Linked DNA regions of Ovis aries. The protein of the gene in region 3 purifies or fractionates together with the protein of the main gene of each other region. This does not show direct contact. Links are inferred from orthologs where the notes say so. Each region holds a gene or a part of one and is shown on either strand. Other genes may lie near its edges.

Region 1 (10,129 bases), on a different chromosome or scaffold from region 3:
CTACATACCAGGCAAAAATAATCAAAAGTCTAACTTTGAAATTATCCAGTGACATTTTGAGAGCAAAGAAAAATATCCTATAAACATGCCGGCAGGCAGTGGGAGGGATGGGTTATAAAATAAATACATCAGTTTGGCATCAGACTTCTCCTCCACAAAACTGAAGACCAGGAGATACAGGTAAAACTTTGAGAGGTTAAGTTGAGAGGAAGGGAAAGGAATTGATCCTAGAACCTTATCCCCACAGCTAAGTTTATATGAAACTAGACAGACACATACTCAAACTCAGAGGCACTCAGTAAGTGTACTATCAAAGTCCCCTTCCTGAAAAATCCACTCGGCATCACAGTCTCAATCGTCATCTACTAGGGCTTTCTGCACTACCCGATACAGCAGCCACTGTGGCTACTGAGTAGCTGAAACGTAGCTAACATAACTGAGGAACGGATTTCCTTTGGTTTTATTTAATTTCAGATAATTTACATAGCTACATATGGCCATGGTTACCCTTCTAGCAAAGTCTAAATATCTAAGAGATAAAGAGCTCAAGAATGAAAAAGTCATGGTACAAAAAGTATGCAATGAACAAGTTAAGCAAAAGTATCATTGTATTTCATTAAATATAAACTATCCAAAAAATCATTATAGCTATGGTTTTAAATATTATGCAAATATCAAAATAATTCTTATAACCTAATATACACAATAAAAACATTAATAATTCTGAATCTAAAATCTCAGATTATATAAGCCATTTCACATTTCACATTGGAGGAGAGAGTAGAAGATACTGTTTCATTCTTAACATTGCTAATCAAAGGGACATGGTTTATTTTGTTTTTTTTTTTTTAAGCTATAAGAGTCAAACTATCAGTGGAATAAAACCAGGATGTATAACTTTAAAATCACTCACAAGGAAAAAAAAAGAACATGAGTGATCTAAGAAGATACTCAGGTGACCATAGCAAGTGAAAAACAGTAAGTGGAAAAATCAGTATACAAAACTATACACACAATATGTCCCAACTTTTAAAGTCTGTACAAATAATAAAAACTGAAAAATATGCATGGAAATTTAATAGTTGTTGACTATGGGTGACTGTTTTCTAAATCTTCTACATGAGCAATACTACCTTTATAACCAAAAAATTTAGCATGAAAAAGAAATAAGGGACTTCTCTGGTGGTCCAGGGGTTAAGAATCTGCCTTCCAACACAGGGGATGTGGGTTCAATCCGTGGCTGGGGAACTAGCATCCCATGTGCAGCAGGACAACCAAGCCTGTGCCCCACAGCTAGAGAGCCTGAGCATCACAAATGAAGGGCTCACACAGCCAAAAAAAAAAAAATTAGTTAGAAAAAAAGAAAGAAATGGAAGTAGGGTCACATACATTTCAGAATTTAGCCAAACAATACCGCCATTTATCCAGAAGACAACCCAGTATTAAAAAATTAAGCAAAAAAGACTATGAGCAGCCAATGTGTAAGTCGCAACGTGCAGACCTAAAGTTTGGGTACCATGTTCATCAAGAGAGACCTTTATATTTTCTTTTACACATATCTTAATTCCAATGAACTTAATTATCTACTGTTTCTAGAGCATCGGGGATACTGATACACTGAGAACAGTACAAAGTGATAGGCCTGGTCTAACTGTAGGAAACAATGACAAAAAATTAAAATATAAAACAGACACATTCACAAAGCAGTCCAGTGGCAATTATGGCAAAAAAATCTCTAAATAACTTAATATATCTCTATACAGTATGATAATTGATATACACTGTAACAATTCAGACTTAAAGTGTTCAGAGAAGTTGTCTTGAATGCAGACTGGTTGAGGAAGTGTGAGAAGTTTCTATAGAATCCGAGAAAAAATTTGATCACAACTGTTTATAATAAAAATAATGCTTAAAGAGAACATCTTCAGCTATCCAGCACAACTCACTCCTGCGAGTTCCACAGAGTTGGAATTTTACCATATTGAAAAAGATTTTATGGTTGGCTACATCAACCAGTACAAAACTGGAGAACAACCTGGAATGAAATGATTAATGACTTCTTTCCAAGGAAGTTTAAAACAAGTAACTATAGGCATGTCAGAATCAGCATTAATGCAACAATTGCTACTAAATGCAGCTGAATTGTGGATGTTATTTTGGCTCTAATCCATGTTTGAGCAGGATTTAGGTACCTTGTAGATACTTATTACCTATTAAACTCAGTAAGCACCATTCCATCACACAGAACAAATTATGAACTAAAGAAATATTTATTCTATTTCCTTTACAGCTGCCTCTTGTGCTGCTGACTTCAAAAGAGATACTAGAAAGACAAGGAAGAAACTGATTATGTTTGTATCTGTGAAACAAAGACTATGCAAACTGTCAGCACGCCATTGTTTCTGTTTCCAGTGTGGTTATCATAGCACAAAAACAAAATGATAACTTCTACTCCTGAAGCCTGATTATTTGAAAATAGACCTGAATATTTCTTCCTCTTTCAATAAGGCAGTAAATGTCCTTCACTTTACTTATCTATAAGGCACTTAATTGCTGAAATGGACTAGTTACTATTTCTATATGAGAGCCTGACAGAATCTGAGGAAGATGGTTCCTGAGTTACTCTAGAAATCTCTCACTGATTTAATATTTGCCCAAAATCCAAGAAAGCACTAAAAAAAAAAAAAAAAAATGGGGGGGATCCCCACCTTCCGCATATCTCTAGTACTAAAAACAAAAAAGCATAATCACAATACTGGTTAATGGTCCTTTGGAACTCTGACCTCTCCAAGCTTCTATTTGTCCTTTGTTCCTTTTCCTTTTAAATAGCCTTACTGGTTGTTTTATCCTGATTACAAAAGTAATACATGGTCATTGTCACGGTTCAAACAACATGAAGATGTATGAAATAAAATAACCTCTCTCTCCCCAACCTTCTCTTTCCCCTCCCTAGAGAACCAATTTGGGAGCTTGGTGTATATTCTTTCTTACTCTTTCTTAGGCTTACACAAATATTATGGGGTATTTTTTTTGGTGGGGTTGTTTTCAAACAAAAATGGTATGTTATTTATACTGGTATGTTATTTATACTATTTATATTGCTTTTTAGTCTCAAAAATATGTTGTCAACACTTCCTAAGACAATATATAAAGATCCACCTCACCCTTTTTAACGGTTACAAAATATTCCATAAGATGGATGATTCCACAAGATATCATCGCCTGACTTCTCCCAACTCATGGCCACTTACTATGCATCCTGATATATATACTTCAGGCTTCCCAGGTGACTCAGAATCCACCTGCCAATGCAGGAGAAGCAGGTTTGATCCCTGAGTCAGGAAGATCCCCGGGAGAAGGAAATGGCAACCCACTCCAGTATTCTGGAGTCTGATGAGCTATACAGTCCATAGAGTTGAACACAACTTAGCGACTAAAACAAACAAACAAAAATATATACTTCATGTTCTTTACTTTCATTAACATAGATTCCTAGGAGTGGAGTTTCTTGGTCAAATGTTTAAAATTTTATCCTTAAAATTAATTTTAGACCTTCAGCGTTTCTGTTCCCTTCTTCAATATGCAAAATCTGGCATAAACCTTTCATAATGCTTTGCATATCTTATTTTTCAAAGCACACACATTATGTCAAAAAACGCCCCTGTCATTTATGCTCTTGTAGTTATAAATAAATAAATGCTAAAGTTATGGCTGTGATGGCCAGCATTAAATCACGGTGCAAATGCTTATGGCTTGGTTTATGAAAGTAGTAATTCATTGTGGAAACTCCACCCCCACAGCCTGTGGCAGCATTGAAGTAGCAGCACTCTCACCCTATGACTCCCTCCACTGAGTGACAATATAGAGATCAGGACCTACATATTTTCTAATTGTCAGCAGTTAACCTTAAAAAGTGTGTGTGGGGGTGGGTGGGGGAAGACAAACAGCAACAGATGAAAAATTGATAGCCATTATGGGCTTCTAATATTTACAAACTATTTGTAGTCCAGTGAATAATTCTGTTGGTCTACAACAGAGAATGTGTTCCATAAAAAACAAAACCTACAACCAATATGTTGCTATGATTACACAAACCTTTCAAAAGTATATTCTTCAAACATTTTTCAATAGAATTATTGGTTGAATTCCACTTTCACATTTTTTTTCTCTACTTCAGATTCAGACTCTAATTACATACTTTAAAAAAAAAAGGGGGAGCCTTAAAGTAATACATTAACCAACATAGCTTCTTAGAATTTAATCTTGGATTGTTCTATATATTCCAAAGACCCGAGCACCAACACAGATTGTTAAGACACAGCAAGTTTGATACAGAAGTATGTGACATGCAATTAATCTCCATTCATACTCTGCTCTACTTGTCAGCAAACAAAGGTTCTGCTTTAGGAGGAGATCTGAAGACTTCAATTAAAAACAGTCAGCTAACAAGAAAATAATCTAAACTAAAGGAAGGTGGCAGGTGCAGAAATGAGTTGTTTACCAAAGTGTCAGTTTTGAACAATAAAGAACTGCACATCAAAAATGCTGAAGGAGTGGATGTCATTGTAAGCCTCTGAAAATAAAAAGGAATTTTCTATCAAGGCTGTAAACAAAATCTAAGTATAGTTTAACTAGTTTGTAAAACAGGTTTCCTCTCAACAAATGACAGATATCAATAAAAAGAATCTGTTTATATCTTTAACTGCAAGCAGAATGAAACTTTTTGCCACGGTTCCTTCTCTCCTGGAAACCAGACACAGTACAGACTCTCTTTATATTTGGAATTACTGAGCCAACAGCAGACGGAAAGGCTGGGTTCCTTCTAGACATCCAGATGATGCTCTTTTACCCCACAAATACTTCTCTATTCTGAAAATTTAGATTCACTCAGGTTGCAAGCAAAATAAATTTTGGAAACTTCATTTCATAAGAAACACGTAGTTGACAGCTTTTATGGAAGCAACCCAGAATGGAAACAGCGCTACAAACAGACTGAAAAGACTTGCCAAATATTTGATTAGGAGGCATTTATACCAAGATAACATGGTAATGGAGATATAAAACCAATTAAATTGAGAGAAACTGAAGAGAAAAAAACATACTGCTTGCCAAAACTATGACCTGCCGAAAACAGGCCATCTGTTAAGTATGTGTCAAAAATGTCACCTCTATACCAAAAGGCTTAATTCTGAGCGGTTTCCTCCTGGGACCCTTATGCAAACACAGATTCCAGGTCCCCATCCTTCCAGGAAGGTCGGTTACAGGAAAAGCAAATTATTAATACTTTTTCACCAGGAAAAGTGGGAGGCAAGCAGATCTTGCCCATTAGCAAAAAGTGTCTCTGGAGTGTTACAGCGGGATGTGTTGAGTGTTAGTGAGTATGGCCTTAACTCTTACAAGGACTGATGGGCTCTACGGTTTGAGGGTGAACACACCGCAATGGGGCACTTCTAGAAAGGGAAGAGATGTAACACTGGGATCCGACCCGGGGCAAGAGGGAGTCTGTGGGCGGGTGAAGGGGGCCTGAGGTCTGGGTGTCCAGGCCTTGGCCGACAGGAGCCCCTGAGCCCTAACAGCCCCGTGAGACCGTGGGGAGCTCTAAGCACGAAGGTCAGGGTTCCCTGTGAAGGGACACAGTCAGGGCTGGAGAGGGGCCAGCGCGTAACCCACAGACGCAGGGCGTCCTGAAGAGAAAGGGACAGGCTGAAGGCCAGCCGCGGCGGCCCGGGGACCTTGAACCCGGCCAGAACTTGCTGAGAAGCCGGGAGGCTAAGTGGGAGGTGGAGACGCCTTGAGGGAAAAGAAAATGTGTTACTAGGAGTGAACGGGACCCCTGAGCGAGGGGTGAACAGCTGGCTCTGCAGAGTCAGGACTCCGGCAGCAGCCTCGAGGTTCTAGAAGGCGGGAGGGAGCCGACGGGGAAGGCCGGCCTTGGGAGCCGCTGGCGTCTCGGCTGCTGCCGGCTCGGCACGTGCGACTCCCGGCGGGCTCGGCGGCGCCCGGGCCAGCGGGGCGTTACCTTCCAGGAGCCAACGGATCTCCTCGGGGAGGGCGGCGGCGGCCTGCATGTGGCGGGCGGCGGGAGAGGGCCGGGCGGGCGGACTGGCGGGCGGGCGGGCGGCTGCGGCGGCACCTGGCCCTCAGTCGCCGGCGCCGCGGGGCCGAGCCGCAGGGCGGGGCGCGCTCAGGAAGCGGCGCGCGGCGGGCGGGGCGCCTGGGCGGCGGCGACACCTGTGCGCGGGGCCCGCGCCCCTACGCCCGCGCCCCAGGGAGGAGGTGCCCGCCCCGCGGCCCCCATTCCCTGTCAGAACAAAGACGCGACGCGACTCCAGGCACCTCGCCTCCGGGCGCTCCCCATTCTAAGCTCGGGACCGCGGGCCTCGCCGGCAGGTGGAGAAGCCACCGTGGGGCCGAGATGAGGCGCGAGGAGGTGGAATCCGAGGACAGGGTCAGTCCCCGCCAAGCCGGGCCGCAGTCATTCCCGACTCAGTTCGCGAGTCCAAGCCCGGAAAACCAGGGCAGAACCGTGGGTCAGGCAAACCAGGACTGTTCGAGGGAATGATCATAAGTCCCAATAAATAATCTCAAGTCACCAACTTCAGGGAGACTCAAAGCAGACCCTCTGCAATGGAAACACGGAGGCAAAGTATCCCTTCCTTCCCTAAGGCTAAAAGGATGAGAGGAAAAAGAAGCGGTAACCCAGAGAGAAAGCTAAAGGAGAGGAGCATCCAGCCCTTTCCCTGTAAGAGTTTAAAAGGGAGGAAAGTGAAGGACAAGATAACAGAAGTGGGCTTCCTTCTCATTCAGAGTATGTAGGTGTCAGGTGTCCTAGCTGTGATATCCTGTGATATTGCACAATTTTACCTGGGGAAACAGGACCACTCTGGATTATTCATCACAACTTCTGTGAATCCACAGTTATCTTAAGTTGTTGTTGTTGTTGTTGTTTTAAGTATAGGGCAAGTGTCATGAAAAAAGTATAAAGTGCCATGGGGTGATACAAGGAGGGAGATGAATATAAGAAAAGGAGGGAAAATGTGTGTGCGGTGTAATGGTGCATGTGGCATTTGAGATGGCTCTGAAGACACCACACTTTGAAGGGGCAAGGGCGCAGGTGGAAGGACCAGAGTAAACAAAGATGGAAAAGACTTCTCCTGCTTCAGGGCAGTTTCTGGCTGGTGTAGGGAAATAGTTGTCAAGAAAAAGTAAAGTTCTACTGTGAGGGAACTTGAAAGGGTAAGGATTCTGAACTCATTTGAGTGGACATTGGGAGCCACAGACAAATTTTGAGATGGGGAGTGAGCTAACCTGAGCCCCTGCACATCTCACTTCACCTCTATCAGTTTCCTTCTTTGTAAAAAATAGTTTCTATTATCAGATTCTATGTACACTAGAATATGTGGAAAGGATTGGGAGTAGTAAGAGAAAGGAAACAGAGAAGATGGGTGAAGTGCCTTTTACAGTAACCTCAGGGGAAATAATGACAGAACCGTGGATGTGGAGATGGGGGCAAGGAGAAACTGTTCAGAGGACTCTTGGAAGCAGTTCCTGCCTCCAGGCATAGCTTCCCCTCCAGAGATACAGTTTCAAGTTTGGGGGCTTGATCCTTTAAGGGGTCCAGTGTCTTTGAGCCATCTATACATCTAAGTACTGCAACCTGAAGAGGAACGATGCCTTGGTTTCAGGGTCACATGACTCACCTACCAGTTCCAGTAATTGGGGTGAAAGTATAGGGGACAGAGGCTGGCTAGAATCTCTGGGGAATCTGGCCCCTGTTACAAGGCATCTTTGCCCTGGGAAAGTTAACATGGGCAGGCTGCCTCCTTCAGGCTCCAGAGTAAGACCAGTTCCCCACTGGGGCATTTTTCCCACACTCACTGCTCCTTCTATAAAATTGTAGCTGCTCTGGAATCATTTTTGAGTACTTATGTGTTAAAAGGCAACGGAGCTCTGTGTACTACAGTTGCAATTTTTCTTAAATCTAAAAGATTAAAAAAACAGCACAGTCCCTCCTATATGTAACCCCAGCACTTTGCCTTGCTTTCCTCTCAACAGTGGGAGGAAATTTGACAACCTCCCTCCCTTCTTCAAGGGTATTTGTCAAATGCTGAAATAGGCTACAAGTTAAAGGGTTGTTTGATAAAAAGCAATAAACCCTAGTAATTGCACATCCTATCAGGACTCACTGCCTGTCATAGCTTACTTATACCAAGGGAAGCAGCAGAAACTCAAGGCAAAGATATTCTACATCCATTCTGGGTGCAGAGAGATGGAGTAGAGGGAGGTGCACAGTTGGGTAGCGTGCAGTGAGTGGCAGATTCCAATACACCATTGTCATGTTGCATCAAGGTTCCTCATTGCAGACAGAAACCCGCCTCCACACATGAACGCAGCCCCTCCTTAATCATCTGAGGACCCTGGTTCAACAGTCAGCCTCACTCCTAATGACATTCTGTTAAATGGACAAATTCCTTTGAAGCCTTGTCCTTCTTTGAAATCCAATTTTGCAGGAAGCCAAATCTGATTGGGGGTAGCCATGGAAACCACACTGAGGAGTCTTCGAGGAGGTGGAGAGAGGCAAGGCAAAATGTGATAGTCAAGAGTCTTTTACTGCTCTGTCGGAAATATCAAAGGGATCTGGAGAGGTTGGCAGCAGACGAGTCGCTGCCCGGGTCCTGTTTGTGTGGCTGGGTACCATGTGGCTGTCATGGAAGTAAGCAGCCAGCTGTCTCCACACACAGGCAGGGGGATGGAGCAGAATACACAAGTCCCAGGTCTGTCTGCCTCCCTCTTCTTCCCCTCCCCCAAACCCAATTCCAGCAAGATCCTAGCATCCCTTTCTTAGCTATCTCTCCTGTAATGGCTAACAACAAAAGAATGACAAGGTTAAAATACAAGGCCCTCACAGATAAGAGGTTCTTTGGAGCAAAGGCCATGAAATTCATCTGAAATTCCTTGTAATTAGATAAGATAAGGGTATCTGAAGAGATGCAGAGCAGCTGAAATGGACTCCATAGCACAACACGCAGAAAGTCTACCACCTGGTCCACAGGGGCCCCTCTCTCACTGTTAGCAGACAGAAGACATGGAAAACAGGGCCCATGCTGGCCTCTCGGCTGCTTGGAGATGCCATCTACATGTTCTCGTGCCAGGTGGGCACTCACTAAATATGCATCCATGGGGTGTTCGGAGGGTTCAGTCAGGAAGAAACAAAAGCATCTGGCACCTAGAATGGCATGGGGCGGAAACAACTGCAAGCAAAGCAAGAGCTGACTGGCACTGCTCAGCCCCAGGTGAAATGGGTAGGGAGAGGAGACTGCAGAGGGCAGCTCTTGGGCTTTATTCCGAGTTGGTTATTGATCCCTGGATGCTGGGTCACGACATGCGGCCGAGCTGACGTCTGCCCTGTGAATGTGCGGCCGCTGCATCTCAGCCCCTCGGTCCCAACCCCATCAACCGGGTTTATTGACTCTTTTATTGACGATGCTGGGGCCTAATGAGGACAAGAGCTACACACTTCATTAAGGACCGTGGAAAGAGAGATGATGCATCCAGCTGGTGCCAAGAACCAGGCTCACGGCATGCTTGGCAAGACCCTGGAAACCAAGCCTCACGGCACCCTTGAGGCAGAGGAGCTGGACACAGATGCTTGCTTGGGCACTTTGCTTGGTGGCCTTAAGATACAGGGTTTTCACAGCTTGCCAGAAGCCTTATTTTTACCAATTAGCTAACCTTTCGATTTAGGAGCGTCCTGCTATGCACATGATGCACTTCGATGGTCTCCCCGCTCACACTTCCAGATTCTTTGCACTAATACAACAAAATAAACAGGTTCTCATATCGTATCAGGGAACATTTCCAAAACAGGTTCTCAGTGAGGCCCAGGCTCAGAACAGAATGAGAGACTATTAAAACTCAAGAATTTTCAAGGTGATTCAAATTTAAGATGAGGAACTGACCTAGTGCTCTGCCCAGGGCCACCCCGCTCACCAGAGGCTGTGCTGATACTAAAATCCTGGTTCTCTAGTGCTGGTCCAAAGCTCCTGTACAACTGAACACCTGAGATGGATAATTATAGTCCAGGGATTACTGAGCAGCTCTGTGAAACCATCATAGTTGGTCCCCCTCC
Region 2 (9,818 bases), on a different chromosome or scaffold from region 3:
CCTACCTAAACAAGTACCTCTATATCCAGCCTATTATTCTCTGTTTCTTTCATCACTTTTTTTTTTTTGGTGAGGCATGTGAGATCCTTGACATTAGTTCCTTGATCAGGGGTCAAACCTGTGCCCCCTGCAGTGGAAGCATGGAGTCTTAACAACTGGACTGCCAGGGAAGTCCTTGTCATAATTTTTATATTATTAATTTGTGGTTTCCTTAGTGTTTGTTTATGAGCTCTATGAAGGTAGGGCTCAGAGTAGGTGTTCCGCTAACTTGAACCGCATGAGAGAAACAGCCCGCTAGGCAGAGGTCCCATTCCAGACCTGCTGTGAGCCCTTAAGAGGGTTCTGGCCTTCTACGTGGCCCCTGTGGACCCTGTTGCCTGATGATCTGTGAGCCATCTGTGTACCAGAAGGACACACCCTTGTTTCCAGGGGCCCTAAGACCAAGGCCAACTGGAGGCTGGGGTGAGGCTGAGATGGGCAAGGTCTTGAAGCCCTTATCTCCGGGAACCCTGTCAAGCCTTGGTAGTGACAGCCTGGCCCAGCAAGAGCAGTTCTAGGAATCTAGGGTGGGAGTGTGGCCTGAAGTCCCCACTGGCCCCTCTGCCCCACCAGATAGCCACTATGCTGAGTGTCCAGGAAGGGGAGGGGCAGTGTCCTCTGTGTGCCTCTTTTGGTTCCCTCGCCTTTAGGTACAAGGACCTACCTGTTCAGGGTGTGCAGGAGGGAAAGATAATGCACTGGGAGTCAGGAGTCCTGCCTTCCTGGCCCCTTCTGTCTCTGCTGACCTCGGGCAAGTCCCCTCCACTCTCTGGGGCTCAGTTTCTGTGCCTGTCTGATGGAGGCACTCTTAGGGCTCTTCAAGCCCTGATGTCCAAGATGAGTGTGCCAATGTGTGGGACATGCATGCTGCGTCCTGACCCCAGGCCTGGGGAGCCTGGAGGAGGGGCAGTGCTGGGAGCGTGGGAGAGCCAGATGTGGTGGCTGCTGGCGCTGCCTGAGTGAGTGCTGAACTGGCCTACTGGGAATTCTCCCACTCAGGCGCCCTTTCTGGCCCCCCTCCTTCACCCTACGGAGAGCTGCTTCAGCTTCCGGCTCTAAGGGGCGTGGGTGGGGGCTGAGGAGGGGGGTCACTTCAGCCTGATTCCCTCCTTTAGAGAAGAACATGGTCCTGAGAGTCTAGACCAGAACCTGGGTGCCTGTCCTGGACTCACATCATAGTCACGCTCCATCCCTGGGCCTCAGACATCCTGGGTGTCAAATTGGCGGTTGCACAGGCTTCCCTCCAACCCTGGTGGTGGCAGCTCCCGGTGACACCAGAGAATCAGGCATCTTTTGTGGAGCTTTCTCACTCTGTCCTAGTCCTTGAACAAAATGCCTTTGGTGCATCACTTACTCAGGCCTCTCAACAACCCCATTTTACAGCTCAAAACACTGAAGCTCTTTGAGCTCAGTTCATGTAATTTGTCCACAGTCACACAGCTAGGAAGTGGCAGAGTTGGATTGGAACTACCCATATCAGAGCCTTGGTTCTTAATCCTTGAGCATGACACTGTGCAGTGGGAAGGGGACGCACCAAACCCCAAGGCCTGCAGCTCCTCTTTCCCCTGCACCCTCTACCTCAGGCGGGGCTCCCCGCACCCCTGCTCTGCCCTCTCAGCCTCACCCTAGCCTCTGCCAAGACAGGATGGTCAGAGGACGGACCCTAGCATCTGGACAGGTGGGAGACGGCTTGTGGCTCGTCCTGTCCACAGTGGGGCTGGGGGCCATGCTGACCACCCCAGTGTGACGGCACTGCTCTGCCCACTGCTCACCCCTTCAGAGTACATAGGGGAAACTGAGGCCCAGGAAGTAGAGGGCTCAGCCGAGGGGTACATAGTGGTGGGCTGCAGCTGGAATGAGGGAAAAACACTATTTCAAGAACAATTCAGACAGTGTACTAAGCCCTTGAGGCACATTATAAATGATAACAGTCTTTTGAGTCATTCCTTGAATTATCTCTAATTTTTCAGAGGAGGAAACTGAGGCTCAGGAGTTTAAATGACTTTCCCAAGATCCTGTAGCTTCAAACTGCTAAAGCTGGGATTTGAAGCAAGCTCTGTCCATCTCTGAAACCTGCCCTGTCAATCATGACCCTTCTTCCTCAGCTGTCCAGCCCTCGGTGAGTGCCCTGTGGGGTTCCATGTGATTCTGCATCCCCCAACCCCATCTCAGCTGTGAGGAGGCGTAACAGCCCTGGTGCCTGCCAAGGGTTAATGGTGGTAGGGGCTAAGTGATTCCAGATGGGCTGGCCGGAAACCGGCGGCCGCCAGCTTCCCAGGGGAGCCACCAGCAGCCGCCCCCTCCCCTCTGTGCTGCATCTCTGGCCCCCAGCTGTCCCCTTGCCCTGGGGCCCACCCGCCTCCTCTCCCTAGCTAGAGTCCAGATCTAAGAGACTTGTAGACAGAGCATCCCAAGGGCCCTCCAGCGCAGTGTGCCCATGCTTGCTATGAACAGATGGGGAAACCGAGGCTCAGAGTGGACGAGGTATCTATCCAAGGCCACACAAGACGTGCATAGTTGGGTCTCAGGACTCCCAGACTGTCTGGTTTGGGTATTGGGATTTGAAATGCCTCCTTGTTCTCCCCCACCAGCCCCACTGACCTGGTCCTAGCAGCTGGACCAAGGCTTCAGAGGTGAATGGCCAAGGCAGACGCTAGGAGGGGAGTTGTAAAGACTGATGAAATCTAGACAGGAAGGCCTGACTCTGTGGTCTTTGGAGTCCCCGGACTTGCCCTATGACCCCCTTGCCACTGAGCTGCACCAAGCCCCCTCCGTTGGGAGACTCTCATAGCTCCCACCCCATCATGTGGACCTAGTCTGAAAAACCCTTCTCCCTCTGTGGTCTAACCCAATGTTCTCCTGGGCAGTCCCTACTGGGACAAGACCAAGAAATGAGCACAAGATTGGTGACCGTGGTTGGCGTGAAATCCCAACCTCCTTCCCCCATGAACAGACACATGGGGTGAGGTGCTGGAGGAAAAGGTTGTAGACAGAGGGCAGGATGGAAGGAGCTCTGGGCAGACTCCGTAGGGCTCCACCTGGGACACCTCTCTTTCCCTCTCTGGGACTCGGTTTCCCCCGTGTTACAGTAGTAGGAGTAGGGCGACACAACCCGATTCTCGTTAAAAATGATGCCCTTGGTCAGGAATCTGTGATTAGAGACTTGTTCTGATCTGAGGAAATGAGGGTTGAAGAAATGAAAGGATGGGACTTCCCTGGAAGTCCAATGGTTAAGACTCTATGCTTCTACTGCAGAGCAGCGGGTTCAGTCCCTGGTCGGGAAATTTCTGCATGCTATGGGATGCATGCAAGGGAAAAAAAAAAAAAAAAGGAGAGGGTGAGAGGTCCAGGGGCTTCCAGAGAAGCCTTGGCAGACCTTGGGGCAGAGGTTGGAAATGGAACACAACAGTACTGGAAGGTAAATGAGAGTTGGGTTAGGGATAACAAGGAAGAGGGTAGGACCGGAGGGCCAGTCAACACTGCAGTGTGGGTCTTCCACTGGGGTCAGAGCACCTGAATCTGTCTGGTGTGTACAGATCTGACCCTGCCCTAGCTCTGCTGTAGCTGTGTGAGCTTGTGAAGCTCATCTGACTCCTCTGGGCTTCAGCTCCTTGTCTACACAATAAGGAAATAATTCTTTCCTGGTCCTCTGGGGATTTTGAGATGATAGAGGAAGATGTCTGGAAATCTGAAGTTTGCTGGGTGATCTTGGGCATGTCTCTTTCCCTTTCTGTGCTAATTCACCCCTGGACCTTGATTTCTTCTTATGAGAGATTGATAACCTCAGAAGGGCTTTTTCTCTCTTCTAAGTCACCTTTTCTCAGAAGCCCTTCCTGATTCCTTCAAGCCTCAGGGAGTGCCCCCCTCTTCGGGCACTGTATCTCCCACTAGCTGGGTACCCTGAGGTTGGAGACTGTAATTTACCACTGCAACCCCAACACCTGGCACAGTGTCTGGCACATAGTAGGTGCTCAGCAAGCTTGTTTAATGAATGAGTGTCGACTGAGTCACCGGGTGGGTTATCAGAGCTCCATCTGCAGATGGGAAAGCTGAGGCCCAGAGAGGGGACCCACCCCCAGGTGCCACAGCCAGGGGAGGCTACCCGAGACAGGCATCAGGCTAGTGGGCCAGGCCACTCTTTAATAAAAGTGACTCAGCGGCTGGCTGGCGTGGGCTGTGGAATTTCTAAACATCCCCTCACATCCTGAGTGAGCAGGCTACGGGAGGGAGCAAGCAGAGGGAAACGAGGAAGAAAAACAAGAAACTTGGGGGAAAAGAAAGAGGGAGGGGGAAACTAAAATTGAAAACAGACACACGCGCGTCCGCCCTCCCCGCCCCCAGCCCCCCTTCCCCCAGCTGGGCCAATCAGAGGCTGCTCTGCAGCCTTTCCCCCAAAGCAGAGGGGGTGGGGGCAGGGAAGCCCACAGTGGGGTGAGCTCCTGGGGCCGCCAGCAGCCCGCAGTCCCTGCCCGCCCTGTCTGGAGCCAGAAGGAAGGAGGGACTGGGAGGAGAGAGCCGGGCCCCTCTGACCAGCGCCACCAGGCAGCAGCCTGCGCTGAGCGACCCGGGCAGCCAGACCCAGGGCGGCCCCTCCTGGCAGCCCTTCTCCTCCACAAGGATGCTTTGGGAGTGAGGCCACTCCTCACCCCGTAGTCCTTCACTCCCTCCATTCTCCTGAGGCTCTGCAAGCCTACAACGCTCCTCACTGTCCTCCCGCTCTGCCACTGCCCCACTTCAGGTTCAGCAGAGTCCTTCTGATGACAAGGGAGAGGAGGCAGTGAGGAGGTCTTCCTGGAGGGGGTGACAGCCCAGAGCCCAGGACTTTGCCCACACTTCAGAAGGCATCAGCAGCAAGGTAAGCGCTGGGAAGAGGAGGGAACTCCAGCGTCTTGTCCTGTCCCCTTGTCCCAGACTGCGCCTTCTTGGGTAGGTCAAAAAATGGAAAATATTTTTAACAAAACCAGATGGGAAGAGGCAACGAGACTGTGGGTGACATCTGGGCTGGAGGAACCAGCTCTCTCCTGCTCAGGCTGCTTTTGGGGTGGGTGCCCCTTGCCCTCATCAAACAAATCCCAGGGGTTTCTGGCAGTGAGGGGGGAGGGGGGCTTCCAAAGCAAAGCGCTGCCTGTAGGGGGCCGCGAGGAGAGCTGGAAGGAGTATGAGAGGGGAATTGGGAGATGGATCCGGAGATGTATCCATGTATCCGGCCGGATACATAGAAAGAGAGCCTAGCAGGGGACTAGGGACCTCAGACACACAGCGTCTGTCCCTGGGCCCAAGCCTTGTCCCTAAGAATCTGCCTGGCTTTACGCCAGTCGGCCGCCAGGCAACCTCTCGGGATTTAAATGGATTTGCAAATTTTCCGGATTCCTAAGATGTCCTTCCAAACCCCCAGCGGCTGGGAAAGTGCGAAGGCGAGGGGGCAGAGGCAGGCCCATCCTCACACAGGCTGGGCTGGGGGTCTGGGATTCAGCAGTCAGATCTGGGGGCCCTGCTGTGAAGAAGAGGGTTGGCTGTTGGGCCCTGTCCTCTGGTCACAGGCAGCTTCTCAGGCCTTCTCATCTTCCTCTTTCTCCGCACCATCCTAAAACATGCATCTGATCACCGTTCCTTCCGTCAGTCTCCCCAGTAGAAGGTACCTATGGAAAGCCCAAACTCCTAACAGCGGCTGCCACTCATCAACACATTGCATGATGCTAGGACCATTTGGCAGAGAAGGCAATGGCACCCCACTCCAGCACTCTTGTCTGGAAAATCCCATGGACGGAGAAGCCTGGAAGGCTGCAGTCCATGGGGTTGCTGAGGTCGGACACGACTGAGCGACTTCACTTTCACTTTTCACTTTCATGCATTGGAGAAGGAAATGGCAACCCATTCCAGTGTTCTTGCCTGGAGAATCCCAGGGACGGGGGAGCCTGGTGGGCTGCCGTCTATGGGGTCGCAGAGTCGGACGCGACTGAAGTGACTTAGCAGCAGCAGCAGCAGCAGGACCATTCGGAGTGTTTTCTATGCTTGATTTCATGTGCGTTCACCATCAAATCCAAAGGAAAGGACTGATTTTATACCATATTTATGGGTGAGGAAACAGAGGGTCAAGACAGCCACACAGCTGGTAGGTGGCAGAGCTCAGGAGATAGTAAGTTCCCTGCCCATCACATCAGACTTGGGCTTTGTGTTCCTGCCAGTCAGAGCCCAGTCTTCACAGAGGAATTTTCATGCTCCTGCCGGTAGGCATGGCCTTCCTCCCTACCTTGCCTTTTCCTTTAAGGACCCTCCTATTCTACCTCCTCCAGGCAACCTTCCTTGGTTCCTCCGGTCTTCCAAGAGCTTGCCATGCCCATCATCCTGGGGCCTTGTTGCTTGATCCTCTTTTTGTGTTCTGTTTACATAACAGAGATTGTTTGGGTCCCAGGCTTCTCCATCCTGTGTTCTGACCCCAGGTCCCCTGGGAAGACAGTGGGACTGAGCAAATGTGGTTGTGAAGGGGAGGAGGGACCTACTGAAGACCTGTGTTCCCAAGGGTGAGCCCAGAACCCAGGCCTCTTATCTTCCTTCCTTTCTTCCTTATCACCCTCTGGGTGCCTTTCCAGAACCTTACATGGTCCTCCCGACATTTTTCTATGTCAAGGGGGGAGTGTTCCTGCCTCTGTGATCCCAAAGTACACAGAAGCCTCTAGTGAGGTCTTCTGAAGTCAGGTATCTTCCCTTGCCTCCAAGCAGCAGGGCCTTGAATCCACAGCACTTGGGAACATGCAGACTATGTTGGTCACCATCCTGGAGTGCTAACTCTGTGCTGGAACCTCTCAGGCCTTATAATCCCTGTTGTAGGCCTTTAGAATCAGTATTATGATTACCCCTGTTTTGAAGACAAGGAAAACAAAGCTCAGAGAAGCTAAGTGACTTTCCCAGGGTCACACAGTTGGTAGAGTTGGTATGTAGGCTGAGGTCTGCCTGAAACCAAAGACTTAACCTCCTTGCTCCCAGGGAGGCTCTGGTCAGGGGAGAGAGTCTCCATTTTCCCACAGAGCCTGCTCCTGGGTCTAGCATCTTCTCCAGCAGAAAGTTTAGCTCCTGGGTCCACCCGGCCCTGACTTGGTCCTGAGTGAGGAGGGAGACCATCTGGTGAGCCCTCTCCCTTCAGTGGTGATCAGGCTGCCCTCCCTCCTCTGTGGGAAGAAGAGCTGAGACTTCTAATTGCCCACAGATGTGGGGCAGTGGAAAGCACCGTGGATTCAGAGTCAGGAGACCCAGCGCTTGTCCTGGCTCCACTCAAATCCTCTGTGTGGCCAACCTCAGGCCCCCACGTCCTCTTTTTTGCTGCGTCTGCATCTGGAAGGCAGTGGGCATGGTGGGTAAACAACACCAGTTTCCGGCATCTGATGACGCCCCCTTGGCTCTAGCTAACAGTGTGACCCTGGGCCAATGCTCTGCCTCTCCGGGCAACAGGCCCCTCCTCTATGAGCAGTAGGGTGGGACAGAGGATCTACAAGATAATAACATAGATAAGGCACTTAGCATGGTTCCTGCATTTTGTGCGGCTGGACCTAACGCCTAAGAGAGCAAAGAGAGCTCCTCTGCTCTCCCCGCCTCCTGTACAGGACGACATGGTTGTGACGTTGGTCTGCACATCGTGAAGGGCTGTAGCCATGGAAGGGAAGGGACCTGGGCGCCATGGCTGTGCTGAAGGCTCACTTTCATCCTCCAGGCGCACCCTGGCTCCGAGACCAGCTGCCTTCTGGGCTGAAGGAGAGAATTCTGGACGTTTTGCTCATGTTGGGCTACTGAATGGTGAGAGGGAGAAAGAAATGAGAGGGCCCCAGGTGCTGCTGAAACACCCCCATGCCCTATTTCTGGCAGATGGTTCAGAAGCCACAGCCAGTGGACCCTTGGAAGGGGGAGATCTTCCCCCCTATTTTCCACATCTCCTCCGCCCCCACCTGCCCATTGGCCATGTCTTCCCAGCATCAGAGCTTGAAACACCTCAACTGGGAAGCCATGTGTGAGAGAGGACAGAACTGGGAGCAGCCTTCTCTAAGCACTTTCACTGTGCTTTTTACATCCATTACCATCACGGTCATGGTTATATTCCTCAGCACTTAGAACAGGCCCGGCCTTCAGTGACTGCTTAATAAATATTTGCGGAACTAATTTAATCATCGCAAACTACCTCAAGGAGTGGACATAAACTCTCCATTTTATAGAAAAAGAAATGCCCAGAGAGGTTAAGAGGTTAAGTCAGTTGCTCTAAGTCCCACAGCTAGGATATGATGGAGTTGGGACTTAAACCTGGTGTTTTTGACTCCAGAGTCCATGACTGAGAGACTGGGTGGGGCCTGGGCTTCAGCTGTGGGGGCCCCTCAGAGCTCTAAAGGTGGTCATCAGACCCTGGAACCCATCCTGTATGACTGTGGGTGAGTCAGTCCCTCTCTGGGCCTCAGTTTTCCCATCAGTAAAATAAGGATTTTTGAACGAGATGATCTCTGAGTTCCTTCCAGCCGTAAAACAATTCCAGGATTCCAAGCCGCGCCAGCCCAGATTGGCAGCCACACAAGCCCTGTTGTGTACTCAGGGATCATACATATTTAACTTCACAATGAAAGGGTTTTTTCTTACCCCTTTTCTGCACGTTATAGAAAGCGGTCAGGATCGATGACCACTAATGGAAAATGGTGCCCTATGATCAAGAGGAAGAACTTTCTGACAATCAGAGCCACCTGGAAATGCACTCTGTTTCTTGGGGGGGCTCTGAGTGTGTGTTTCCCCAGCAGCCACAGGCCCATTTTTCTTGGATACTGAGGAGGGAGGGTCAGGAGGACTGCCTGTGAAGGGGTGTGTGTGGATGCTGTGACCCTTTGCTGATTTTTGAACTTCATGTGCTCTGATTTCAAAGCAAGGCTTTGGCCTATGGTAGATGGACAAATGGTGGGGTCCAGAGGCAAGGGAATGGATGCAGAGACCCACCTCTAATGGGAGGAGTGTGGAATTCACACACTGTTGCTCCCAGTGTAGAAGCCAAATCTAAGCCCCTCCCAAGACTTCAGGCCCAGAACCCTCAGGCCAAAGAGCTTCCTGAACCCCCAGGCCATGGCCCCAGGACCCCTCTTCCTAACCCCAGCCAAGTGCAGGAGGTTGAAAATCAAAGTGCATCATTTTAGCTGCGTTAGCACCCTCTCTTCTCCTCACTTCAGATCAGAGCTCTTTAATGTCTCAAGTGCACAAAACCTTTCATCTGCCAGAGGTACCAGCTTCTCTGCCCTGTGATGGAAATGGTTGTCACTTGGGAGGTGGGGGCAGCAGGGCCAGGGGGTCAGACAGTTCCTGAAGGTCAGAGATGAAAAGGACTATGGGGATCACTGTGCTCAACTTCCTTATTGTATGCAGGGGACACTGAGGTCCAGAGAAGAGGAGACTGTGCCTCAGCCATAGCACTGAGCCCAGGACCCAGCCTGCTGGCCTGGACTTTCCTCTGTGCCAGGGCACGTGTTGGATCTTCTCCACCTGTCTCTGTGGCCCAGGGCTCAGGCTCCAGCTCCCACTAGGTTGAGGTCACAGGGCAGAGTTTGGGCTAGAATGGAGCAACACCACCCCAGTGAGGGATGCGAGCCCCTCTGGGTAGTGCTGTGGACCATGGAGCCTTTGATTATATCACTTCTCCATCCTGGCCATAATTTCCTTTTGTGTAAAACGAGGGGGCAAGGGCACAGTTCAGTGACCCCAAAGGTCGTATCCAGCCCCATCCTTAGCCCCTGAGAGCTCCTGCCAGGCTCTGTGTGGCTGTG
Region 3 (10,010 bases):
GAAAGAATGGCAATAGGAATTGACATTTTATTTTTTATTTAAACATAAAGTTATGTTTCCCAACAACCAAAAGAATCCATTTCCAAAGTATTTATGCCACCCTCCCTTATGGCATATAACACATTTTAATCAATATCATCATTATGTCCATACGTATTATCTTGCATATTGCCTCGTGGCTAAGAGCAAAGGCTCTGAGACCAAACTAACTGGACCTGAATCCTGACTCTACTGCTTACCAGCTGTGTATGATCTTGAGTCAGTTATTTAACCTCCTTTGTTTCACTTTCCGTATGTAAAATGGAGATTATAAGCAAAACTACTTCATATAAAAACAACCTTGAAGTATAGTTAGGCTTCCAGGTGGCTCAGTGATAAAGAATCTGCCTGCCAATGCAGGAGACACAGGTTCACTCCCTAGTTTGGGAAGATCCCCTGGAGGAGGAAATAGCAACCTGCTTCAGTATTCTTGCCTGGAAAATCTCATGGACAGAGGAGCCTGGCAGGCTACAGTCCAGGGGGTTGCAAGACAGTTGGACATGACTTAGCGACTAAACAACAGCAGCAATAGTTGATTTACAATATTATATTAGTTTCAGCTGTTCTTACCATTCTTAAGATTAGAGCTTAAACAGTGGTTGGCATATAGTAAATGCTCAATAAAACTAGCTATTATGTATTATTTTTATCTCCTCTAGCAGACTAAGCTCCCAAACAGCAAGGACAGCAGAAGTATTCATTTTCACAATCCTATCTTCCAGTGCCTTGCACACAATAAGATATTGGGCTAACGTTTACAGAACTGATGAACATAATGAACTTTTTATAGCATACACACAGGGCGAAAAAAACCACAAAAACTGGAGAAGGAAATGGCAACCCACTCCCGTATTCTTGCTTGGGAAATTCCATGGAGAGAGGAGCCTGGCGGGCTGGTCTGTGGGGTCCCAAAGAGTCGGGCATGATTTAGTGACATACCACAACATAGCAAAAGTATGTGCATTACTAAGTCTGATGACTAGTACGGACAGAATTGCTCCTGGGGAGGCCGGTGGAGAACAGGGGCTATCCAAAACACTAGTGATTCACCTGGCTCTGGGAACTCACTTAATCCCACGGAACATGCAGGGCTCACAGTCACCCACCCACTCAAGACATCTGCAGGCTGGAGGGGACCCTGTCAGGACTGAAGAGCTGGGCAGGTGAGGCTCTCTTCCCACGAACATGGCCTGGGGCAAAAAATCTCTCCTCTAGAGTCTCTTTCATTTCCTCTTCCAATTAGAGAAGGTAGGACTGTGATTTCTAAAGACTCTCCTGGCCATTCGGGAAGTCTATAAAATAAGCAGATAACAATCCAGGCCAACAAAGGTAGTACTGGAGAGCCACATCAAAGTCAGTACCACAGCCATCAGATCACTGTATTACAGGGAATAACTGGGTGGGAAGTGGCTACTAGAATCAACAAAAAACCAAGGTTTTTGGAAACATGTTTAAAATGTGAAGGTCTGAACTTATAAAATCAAAAGTCTGGCAATAGCAAAAGAATGAAGGCAATAATGGGTAAAGGCTCTAGGTTTCCATTTAATTCTCATCAACCTACAAAGTCCTTGAAGGCAACGACTATGCCTTGTTGAGCAGCACCACATAGCAAGGTTGGGTGTGTGTGCGCTCTGACTTTTTGCGACCCATGGACTATAGCCCACCAGGCTTCTCTGTTCAAGGAATTTTCCTGGCAAGTGGGTTGCCATTTCCTTCTCCAGGGGATCTTCCCTCCAGGGTCTGAACCCAGGTTCAATCTCTTGTGTCTTCTGCAATGGCAGGCAGATTCTTTTCCACTCGTACCACCTGAGTTGTGGCATATAGCCAAGTTGCTGGCCCCAAACACATATCTTCTTGACTTTTTTTCTAGTCATATGATGACTATTTCCCAGGATCCCTTGCAGTTTAATGTGGCCATTTAACTATCCCTCAAGTAAAGGATGTAAGCAGAAGTGATGTGTGTCATTTCCAGGCCAGGGTAATTAAAAAGTGGGTTCATCCCCTCTACTCTCTCTTTGTGCTTCTGCCAGCTGAAAGCAAATTACAATGGAGCGCCAAGGCATGGTGGAATTTGGAGCCCAGAATCACTGCATGGAGGAAAGTCACCCACTGATCAGAAATACCCATTTTGAACTATTACATGAGGAATAATAAACATCTATTACTTTTGAGTCATTATATTTTTGCAGGCCTATTTGTTATAGCTGCTAATATTAGCCTAATTAAGCCAGGTGCTTAGCACATACCAAAGACCTAACACATTTGTTGAAACAAGACCAGGTTCCTTCTTTCAATGTGTTGATCAACTAATGATGGAAACAGACACGTGCCAACCATAATGCCAGCTGCTGAAGTGTGAAAGCAAAATTGGAGGCATGGTGATTTGCTTGAAGGGGAAAGGAGGAGAAAGCATCCCAGAGTAGAAGACTTTTGAGCTGGGCCTTAGGTTTAACAGAACCCAAGCAAATCAGATGGGGTTAGGAGATTTCAGACCCAGGAGAAAGCAGAGAATAAAAGTACAGAAAGCAGAATATGCATTTGTTCACATTCAACCTCACCACTCTCTTGAACTCGGTCAACAGAGGGTGAGCTTATTGTGCACTTTCTTTCCTGGGTTTGGCCAAACAAACAAGGCTTTGTTTTTTTGTTTTGAACACTACCCTCATTAACCCTTTTGCTTTTTTTAAAATATAAAATGTTCCAAGATGAATGTCCTTAGAAAGTGCAGGAGTAAATGTTTAATGAACCATAACAATTCTTCTCTAATAAAATTCTTGAAGAACTTGAGACAGTTCTATTACTTATAACAGTCAAAGAGCCATGCTCTTAGGAATCAATGGGTTCGACCTAAGTTTTGACATTATTGATTAAGCATGTAACAGTCACTGGCTTACAGAATGGAACATTAAGCCCCCAGATTTACATTTACATTTCCTTTTTAAGAGGAACATCAAGCAGATGGTTTAAGAGATCAGGCAAAAGATTCTCTACCTTCTTCGCTCATAGCTAAGTGCCTCCAACACCTGAGACAATTAACAAAACCACTTCCTCCAAAAATCAGTCCCTTGTCTGAAAGCACAGGACCCGAGGGGCAGAGGGGCAGGGACTTGGGAGAAAGAGCACAAAGGGTGGAAAGTACGGCAGTGGCTTGGCGGTGAGAGGAAGGAAGTGGCTGTCTGAAGGGTACCCTGAAGCAGGCAAGAGAGACACAGTCCCCAGTAGTCTTCCAAATACCGACTTACTGCTGTGTTAGCAATGTCCCCAGGAGCTTCTTTAAATACAAGGGTGAAACAACCATCACTGGGTGGACAAGACTTCATTTCAAATGACTTCAGTCCTCCTTAGACTTGAGAGAAGCAAGTTAGGCTGCCTCACTCCTAGCAAACATCAATATAACTCTCTTTTGGAAACAAAATTCTCCCTCTCCCACACCCATGTATCCTACCCCCTACCATGAAAGGGAGTTAAAACTGGGCAAGGGAGGGTGCTACCCTGAGAGTAAAGCAACTCTTCAGACAGCTGAAATCAATTCCCCCTTCAATCTAAGAAGTACTGCAGCCGCCAGTCAACACTACCGGTCCATGAATACAGCAAAACGGCAGCACCTGCCACCCTGCATCTGGGGCCTTTTATTTTTTGGTAAATGTGGCAGGAAAGACTCTCAGAGAGAAGATCAACTGCTTTATCTGAGCAAAAGGGAAGCCCCAGGGAAGAGAAACAAGAAGCATCGCGCCCACCCTTGGGCACTTTATGCGTCTCCTCTCTGTGCACTGAAAGGGCTCTTTGTGTCACACACACACATACACACACACACCCCGCGAGTCTGTGTGATTTATTGGTGGGAGGAGGGGCGAGAAGGGTGATTTTATTATCCCTCTTCTCACTCAGTCCCAGCAAATCTCCGCCGAGGCCCAAGCCTGGTGGCCTCTTTCTGGCTCAGTCCCCTCCGCCTGTGGCCGCAGAGATAAGAGAGGGGAGGCGACCAAACAAAAACAGTCATCGATCTAGGGAAGTAGAGAGGAAATCCAGAGAGCTGAGAAGGAAGGAGAAAGGAGCCTGAGGGAGCAGGAGGGTTGGAGGGGTCAGAGGAAGAGGAGCTAAGGCTCCAGCACGGGGGACTGGGGAAGGGTGGGTGGTGGCACAGGAAGAGTCGAGGGGAGGATGGGGGAAGTGCAAGGGAGGTGCCAGAAATAAGCTGGAGGATGCGATGGGAAAGGCGACGGCCACAGGAGGAGGAGGCCGAGAGGTGGAGGAGTGGGGCAGGGGTGGAGTGGGGTGGGGAGGGAAGCAGCACGGGGCATCAATTATTAAGTGATTACATCATCCCTGACATTAAAACAACACACACAGCCCGGGTCCCCGCGGGGGGCCCCGAAAAGAGGGCGGAGGCGGAGTCTGGGCCGGCCTAGCCACCCCCCAAGCCAATCCCTATTCACACCCTGAGGAAATGGACCCCCCAGCCCTGCGCTACCTCGGGGCTGCAGCCCGCAGAGGTGTCCTCCGGAGCGACCACAGCAAGACTCCAAGCAAGGCCAACTCCCTGGCAGCCCCGCGGGGAGCCCCAGAGGCAACGATGGCCAAGAGACTGCAGCGCCGGGCCCCGCGGCGGGGGCGGCGCTGCGCTCGGCGCCCGCGGCCCGCATCTCCGCAGCATCCCCGCGGCCCCGCGGCGCATCCCCGGCCGCTTACCTGCGCTGCGCTCAGGCTCCGGAGCCCATTCACATGGTCCACTCCCCGCCTCCTCCGGCGCGGCCGAAGCGGCTCCGGTGGTTGCTCGGCGGGCCCGGGAGCCGGTGGGCCTTCTGAGAGTGCCCAGGGGGCGGCGCCGGGTGTCCCCGGCCCGGCGACTGGATCCCTCCCAGGCGCGGGCGGCGGCTTTGTGTGCGCCTGGGGAGCCCTCGGTGCGCGGGGTGAAGCGCCGCGCGCCCGGGCGGTGATGGACGCGCGGCTCCGAGGGCAGCCTCTCTTCTGCTCCCTCGGCCGGTTGGCGGGCGGGTCTCGGCGGCCTTCGGCTCGCGGCGACCCCTCCTCCTCTCCCGCGGCAGCCCCCTCCCCGCCGGCTCCGCTCCTGACAGATGGCGCAACTGCAACGACGCGCCGCCGCTGCCGCGGCTGCTCCGAGCTACTCGCGCTGATGCTCCAGCCCCTCCAGCCCCAGCGGGGAGTGAGGGAGGGCGGGAGGCCCCGCGAGAGTGGCAGGCTCCACTGTCCAATCAACGAGCCCCTCGGGAGCAGCGGGCGGCGACCATTGGTGGTTGAAGCGGGGGCGGGGCGGCGATGGGTGGGGCCACCGAGTGGGCAGAGCGTTCCGGTGGCATTGGGCATCCTGGCGTGCTTGTGGTGTAAGGGTGTGAGAGGGGATACTAGATTGGAGGAGTTGTGCGTGTGTGTTTTTTAAGGTTTACGTGGACTTGAGGTAGTGGGTTAGGGTAAGGAAAGAAGAGGAGAGTGTGAGCTTCAGTTTCTGCTTTGGAGAAGGTTGCAGCCGCTACTGCAGAAAGGCATCTGCCATTCCCTCAAAACCATGGGAACCTGCCTTGAGAAAGGGCTATCTTTCCTTTCTGTTGTCTTTTAATTTGAAGGTGGGAGGATAAATTGGGAAACTGTTAGGATGATTAAATTGTTTTCTCTGATCAAACCGAAGAGTGCGGAGCAAGGGAGAATCCCATCACAGAAACCTGGAAAAAAGAGAAACCTGGAAACGCGCGGTTAATATTATCAGTAATTATAAGGAGGGGGAGGAAGAAAAGGAAGGGGATAAAACGGAATAAATTAGAATGAACTGATAGTCTTCTGATATATGTATATATATATAAGCAAAGTCTGCAGGAAGTATTAGGGAAATACGAGTAAGGGGTGGAGAGGGCAAGCGACTACTATGGAATCTGCAATCACAGAGTGGGTGTTTGTTTGTATAGCTTTTTCCAAAAGCATGTTCAATTGTAGCCATTGGTTGTCTTTGTTTTCTCATGAATTCAGCCTTCCCGTGGTTTTTTTCCTTCTCTAAATCTGAGCTTTTGCTCAGATTTTCCTTGATGAAATAATAGCTGGTTTAATATACAACTGGGAGTGCATCAGTCTTTATTTCCTATCCAGCATTTCTATGGCAGGATGTAACTTCATTAAAAAAAAAGCAAACACTTCAGCTTCCTGATTTTCTTTATAGGTAATTCCTGTTTACTGAAAGTTCTACTCTAAGGCATGCTCAGATTCATTCTTCTTAATGATTTTGGCAAGAATCCTACCCTACCCCCTCAGCAAAATATAGCGCTCTGAGAAATATAAGTGAATTGGCATCTGCTTCTATGTTCAAAATCTATAATATTACCTTTCCTGCCCACTAAGTTTTGACTGTAGTTTTCAAATACCAGTCACTTTTTCTGCCTTTTTTTGGATACATAGTACTTAAAAAAAAATTAAACTAAGAGGTATTTATATGGAAACTTCCCCCTGAGAAATCTGTGCAATATTGGGTGGGGAGGGGGTTGTTTGTTTTTAATCTATTTTTATTGGAGTATAGTTAATTTACAATGTCTTAGTTTCTGCTGTACAGCAAAGTGAATCAGTTATACATATACATATATCTACTGTTTTAGATTCTATTCCCATATAGGTCATTACAGAGTACTGAGCAGAGTTCCCTATGCTATACAGTAGGTACACAATACTTTTTAAAGTTGCTAACATTTGTTAAACAAATCCCCATTTTACAAATGAGGAAACTGAGGACAAGAGAAATTAAAAACTAAATTTAAAGTGATTGTATAGTGTGATTACTGGGTTTCTTTCTTCCTTAAAATACTGAATGAAATCATATTTAAATTATGTGTTGATTATTTATTTCATAATCCCAAGAAATGGAACCCCAACTAGGACTAGAAATTTCCATACAAGAGAACGCAAACTTCATCTAGCCAAGAATTGTTTATCTCAAGAGAAGAGGCTCTTCTTTCTCAGTACTAGCCTGCCATGGCTCTCCTAGTTTTCTATGGATTGGAATGGAGAGGCAATTGTCTAGAGCAATGATGCTGAAGCTGAAGCGCCAATGTTTTGGCCACCTGATACAGAGTCGACTTATTGGAAAAGACTCTGATGCTGGGAAAGATTGAAGGCAGAAGGAGCAGGAGTGGCAGAGAGTGAGATGGTTAGATAGCATCGCCAACTCTATGGACATGAATTTGAACAAACTCTGGGAGATAGTGGAGGACAGAGGAGACTGGTGTGCTGCAGTCCATGGGGTCGCAGAGTCAGACACAACTTAGCAACTGAACAACAGCAACAAATGATTCTAAACCTTAGCATGCATCAAAATTACCAGAAGGGATTTGTTAAAATACTGATTGGTGACCTCCACCCCCAGAGGGTCTGATTCGGTAGACTTGGAATGGAGCCCAAGAATTTGCATTTCTAACAGTTCCCAGCTGATGCTGACGCTCCTGGTCTGGGTACCAGGCCTTGAAAACCACTGATCTAGAATCAGGCTGTCCAATGTGGTAACCAAAAGCCACACCTGGCTCTTACACACTTGAAATGTACTTGAGTTTTTGATATGTGACTAGTGCAAATTTAAATGTCCTGTGAAAGAAAAGACTCATTGGATTTTAAAGATTTAGCATAAAAAATATAAAACATCTAAATGATTTTTATATTATTCACATGTGAAGATGATAATAGTCTGAATATATTGTGCTAAATATACTATTAAAGTTAATTTCACTTATTTCTTTTAACTTTTTAATGTGTCTACTAGAGAATTTTAAATAGCGTATGTGGCTCACATTACATTTCTACTGGACAGCACTAGACTAGATTATTTCTGATTCCAGCTCCACACTGCACACTGTTGACAGCACCTTGATGGGACAAATCACTTGCCTTTTCTGGCCCTTAGTGTTCTTATATGTAAAATGGAGACAGAGGAAGACTGATCTGAAGCACGCTACTTGTTTGAAGACTAAATGGACATGAAAGGGTACCGTCTTCCTTTTTGAAGATAATGTCATGTACTCTCAGAAAAACCGCTCTTGAGATAGAGCCCTCCTTGGAATTCCATGTGAGGTTCAATTTATCTTACATGAAATCTGGAGTAGGTGGAGTGAGGCATCTCATTGTTTATGGTTTCTTCAAGAGGAGTCGCTTTTTTAGCGTCTGTAACTCTAATAGCTCCTTGATCTAATTAGGGAACAAAATGAAGAGACAATGCAATTAAGATGACAGATTAACCTGCTCCCATCAAGACTTCATCCTGTTTTTGTAATTCTTTCCTTGCCTACCTTTCTATCTGTTGCCCTTCTTAAATGTGGGTTTAAATGGATTTGGCCTCCTAGGAGGATTAGCTAATGGTCTGAACAAGTGTATAGAGTACTGGGAAAGATTTGGATGCTATTCCCCATTTTGATCTACTGTGCAGGTCTCAACACACACCTTGATTAAAGATCCATGGCCCTGCCCCTAGCCTTCCTGAGATAAGCCATCTTGTCCTCTAAGCCCCCATTCTGTTTTCTTACTGACAGCTTAATATATACAAACTAGAATGTAGACATTGTTCTAGAAATTCTCTTTGATTTGACGGGTACTGGTTATTTTTCTCTTTCTATTTCTTTCAATTTTCCTCTTCCTATCTGGGCTTTGTTTTGTCTCAACTGAATTTCTTATTCTCTTGTTTTTAAAGTAACATTTTCCTTCTCTTAAATTTTATTTAATTGAAATATTTTCTTGCTTGATAATTACATTTCAGTTTTAATCTCTTAAATGTTAACTCAACAGCCACATATACAGCAAGGGTAAGAATCCTTAATATAGAATGCTGACACATCCATAGGAAGCAAAAATGAATAATTCGATTGAAAACACATGAAAAGTAAGTGCATCCACAAGGTGAAAGTGAAAGTGTCTCAGTCCTGTCCAACTCTTTGCAACCCCATGGACTATACAGTCCATGGAATTCTCTAGGCCAGAATACTGGGAGTGGATAGCCTTTCTCTTCTCCAGGGGATCTTCCCACCCCAGGGATCGAACCCAGGTCTCCCGAATTGCAGGTGGATTGTTTTCCAGCTGAGCCACAAGGGAAGCCCAAGAATACTGGAGTGGGTAGCCTACCCCTTCCCCAGCAGATCTTCCTGACCCAGGAATTGAACCAAGGTCTCCTGCATTGCAGGCAGATTCTTTACCAACTATCAGGGTATCAGTACTATCAGGGATCAATAAACATGAAAAGAGATATAACGCTGCTTGTAATCAACGACCTAGTTGGCCAAAGACATAAAGGATGTAGGGAAGTGGATACCCACACTGCCAGAGAAGATGCAGCATTATATCACTTCTAGAGGGTATTATATCTCTTCTAGAGGACAACTTAGTAACATTTATGAAAAGCCCTTTGGGGAAGGAGAGGGTGGAACAAATTGAGAAAGCAGTATGGAAACATATACATTACGATATGTAAAACAGACAGCCGGTGTGACACAGGGAGCTCCGCCCAGTGCTCTGTGACAACCTACAGGGGTGGGATGGGGTGGGAAATGGGAGGGGGATCAAGAGGGAGGGGATATATGTGTACCTGAGGCTGATTCACATTGATGTACGGCAGAAGCCAGCCCGATATTGTAAAGCAATTATCCTCTAATAAAAAATTTTTTTAAGAAGTATATACTTTTGATACAGAAATTCTCCTTCTGGAAAGAATGGAATGAGTTTGCAAAGATACACCTATGTTGTAAGTAATTGGAACATTGTCTATAATGATGGGATTTGGTATACAAACTACACTATGATAGAACACTGCATAGCCATGAAAATGATAATGATGCCATTTATTTATGTGAAAAGATTTCCACAATAAAGTGTTAAGAGAAAAAAGTGAACAGCAAATTCGTATGGCTATGTGTACATGTAGGTATGTATATTTATTCCATTATTTTAAAATTTATCTCTATAGATACATTTTCATAGAAAAGTATGTAAGAACATAC

The links.
Region 1: the proteins of FYN (region 3) and SKAP1 purify together in Homo sapiens (affinity purification with western blotting; 3 studies listed by BioGRID and IntAct, with this or other methods). This does not show direct contact. The link is inferred for Ovis aries from reciprocal best matches to the Homo sapiens genes FYN and SKAP1.
Region 2: the proteins of FYN (region 3) and PDGFRB purify together in Homo sapiens (pull-down; 3 studies listed by IntAct, with this or other methods). This does not show direct contact. The link is inferred for Ovis aries from reciprocal best matches to the Homo sapiens genes FYN and PDGFRB.

The regions. Positions count from the first base shown.
Region 1 is NC_056064.1:37,786,708-37,796,836, reverse strand, and holds the start of SKAP1 (src kinase-associated phosphoprotein 1), read right to left. Parts: upstream 6,164-10,129; 5' UTR 6,069-6,163; coding exon 6,020-6,068; intron 1-6,019. UniProt on the Homo sapiens protein: Positively regulates T-cell receptor signaling by enhancing the MAP kinase pathway. Required for optimal conjugation between T-cells and antigen-presenting cells by promoting the clustering of integrin ITGAL on the surface of T-cells.
Region 2 is NC_056058.1:59,268,591-59,278,408, reverse strand, and holds the start of PDGFRB (platelet-derived growth factor receptor beta), read left to right. Parts: upstream 1-4,525; 5' UTR 4,526-4,894; intron 4,895-7,744; 5' UTR 7,745-7,824; coding exon 7,825-7,827; intron 7,828-9,818. UniProt on the Homo sapiens protein: Tyrosine-protein kinase that acts as a cell-surface receptor for homodimeric PDGFB and PDGFD and for heterodimers formed by PDGFA and PDGFB, and plays an essential role in the regulation of embryonic development, cell proliferation, survival, differentiation, chemotaxis and migration.
Region 3 is NC_056061.1:25,875,918-25,885,927, reverse strand, and holds the start of FYN (tyrosine-protein kinase Fyn), read right to left. Parts: upstream 5,181-10,010; 5' UTR 4,729-5,180; intron 1-4,728. UniProt on the Homo sapiens protein: Non-receptor tyrosine-protein kinase that plays a role in many biological processes including regulation of cell growth and survival, cell adhesion, integrin-mediated signaling, cytoskeletal remodeling, cell motility, immune response and axon guidance.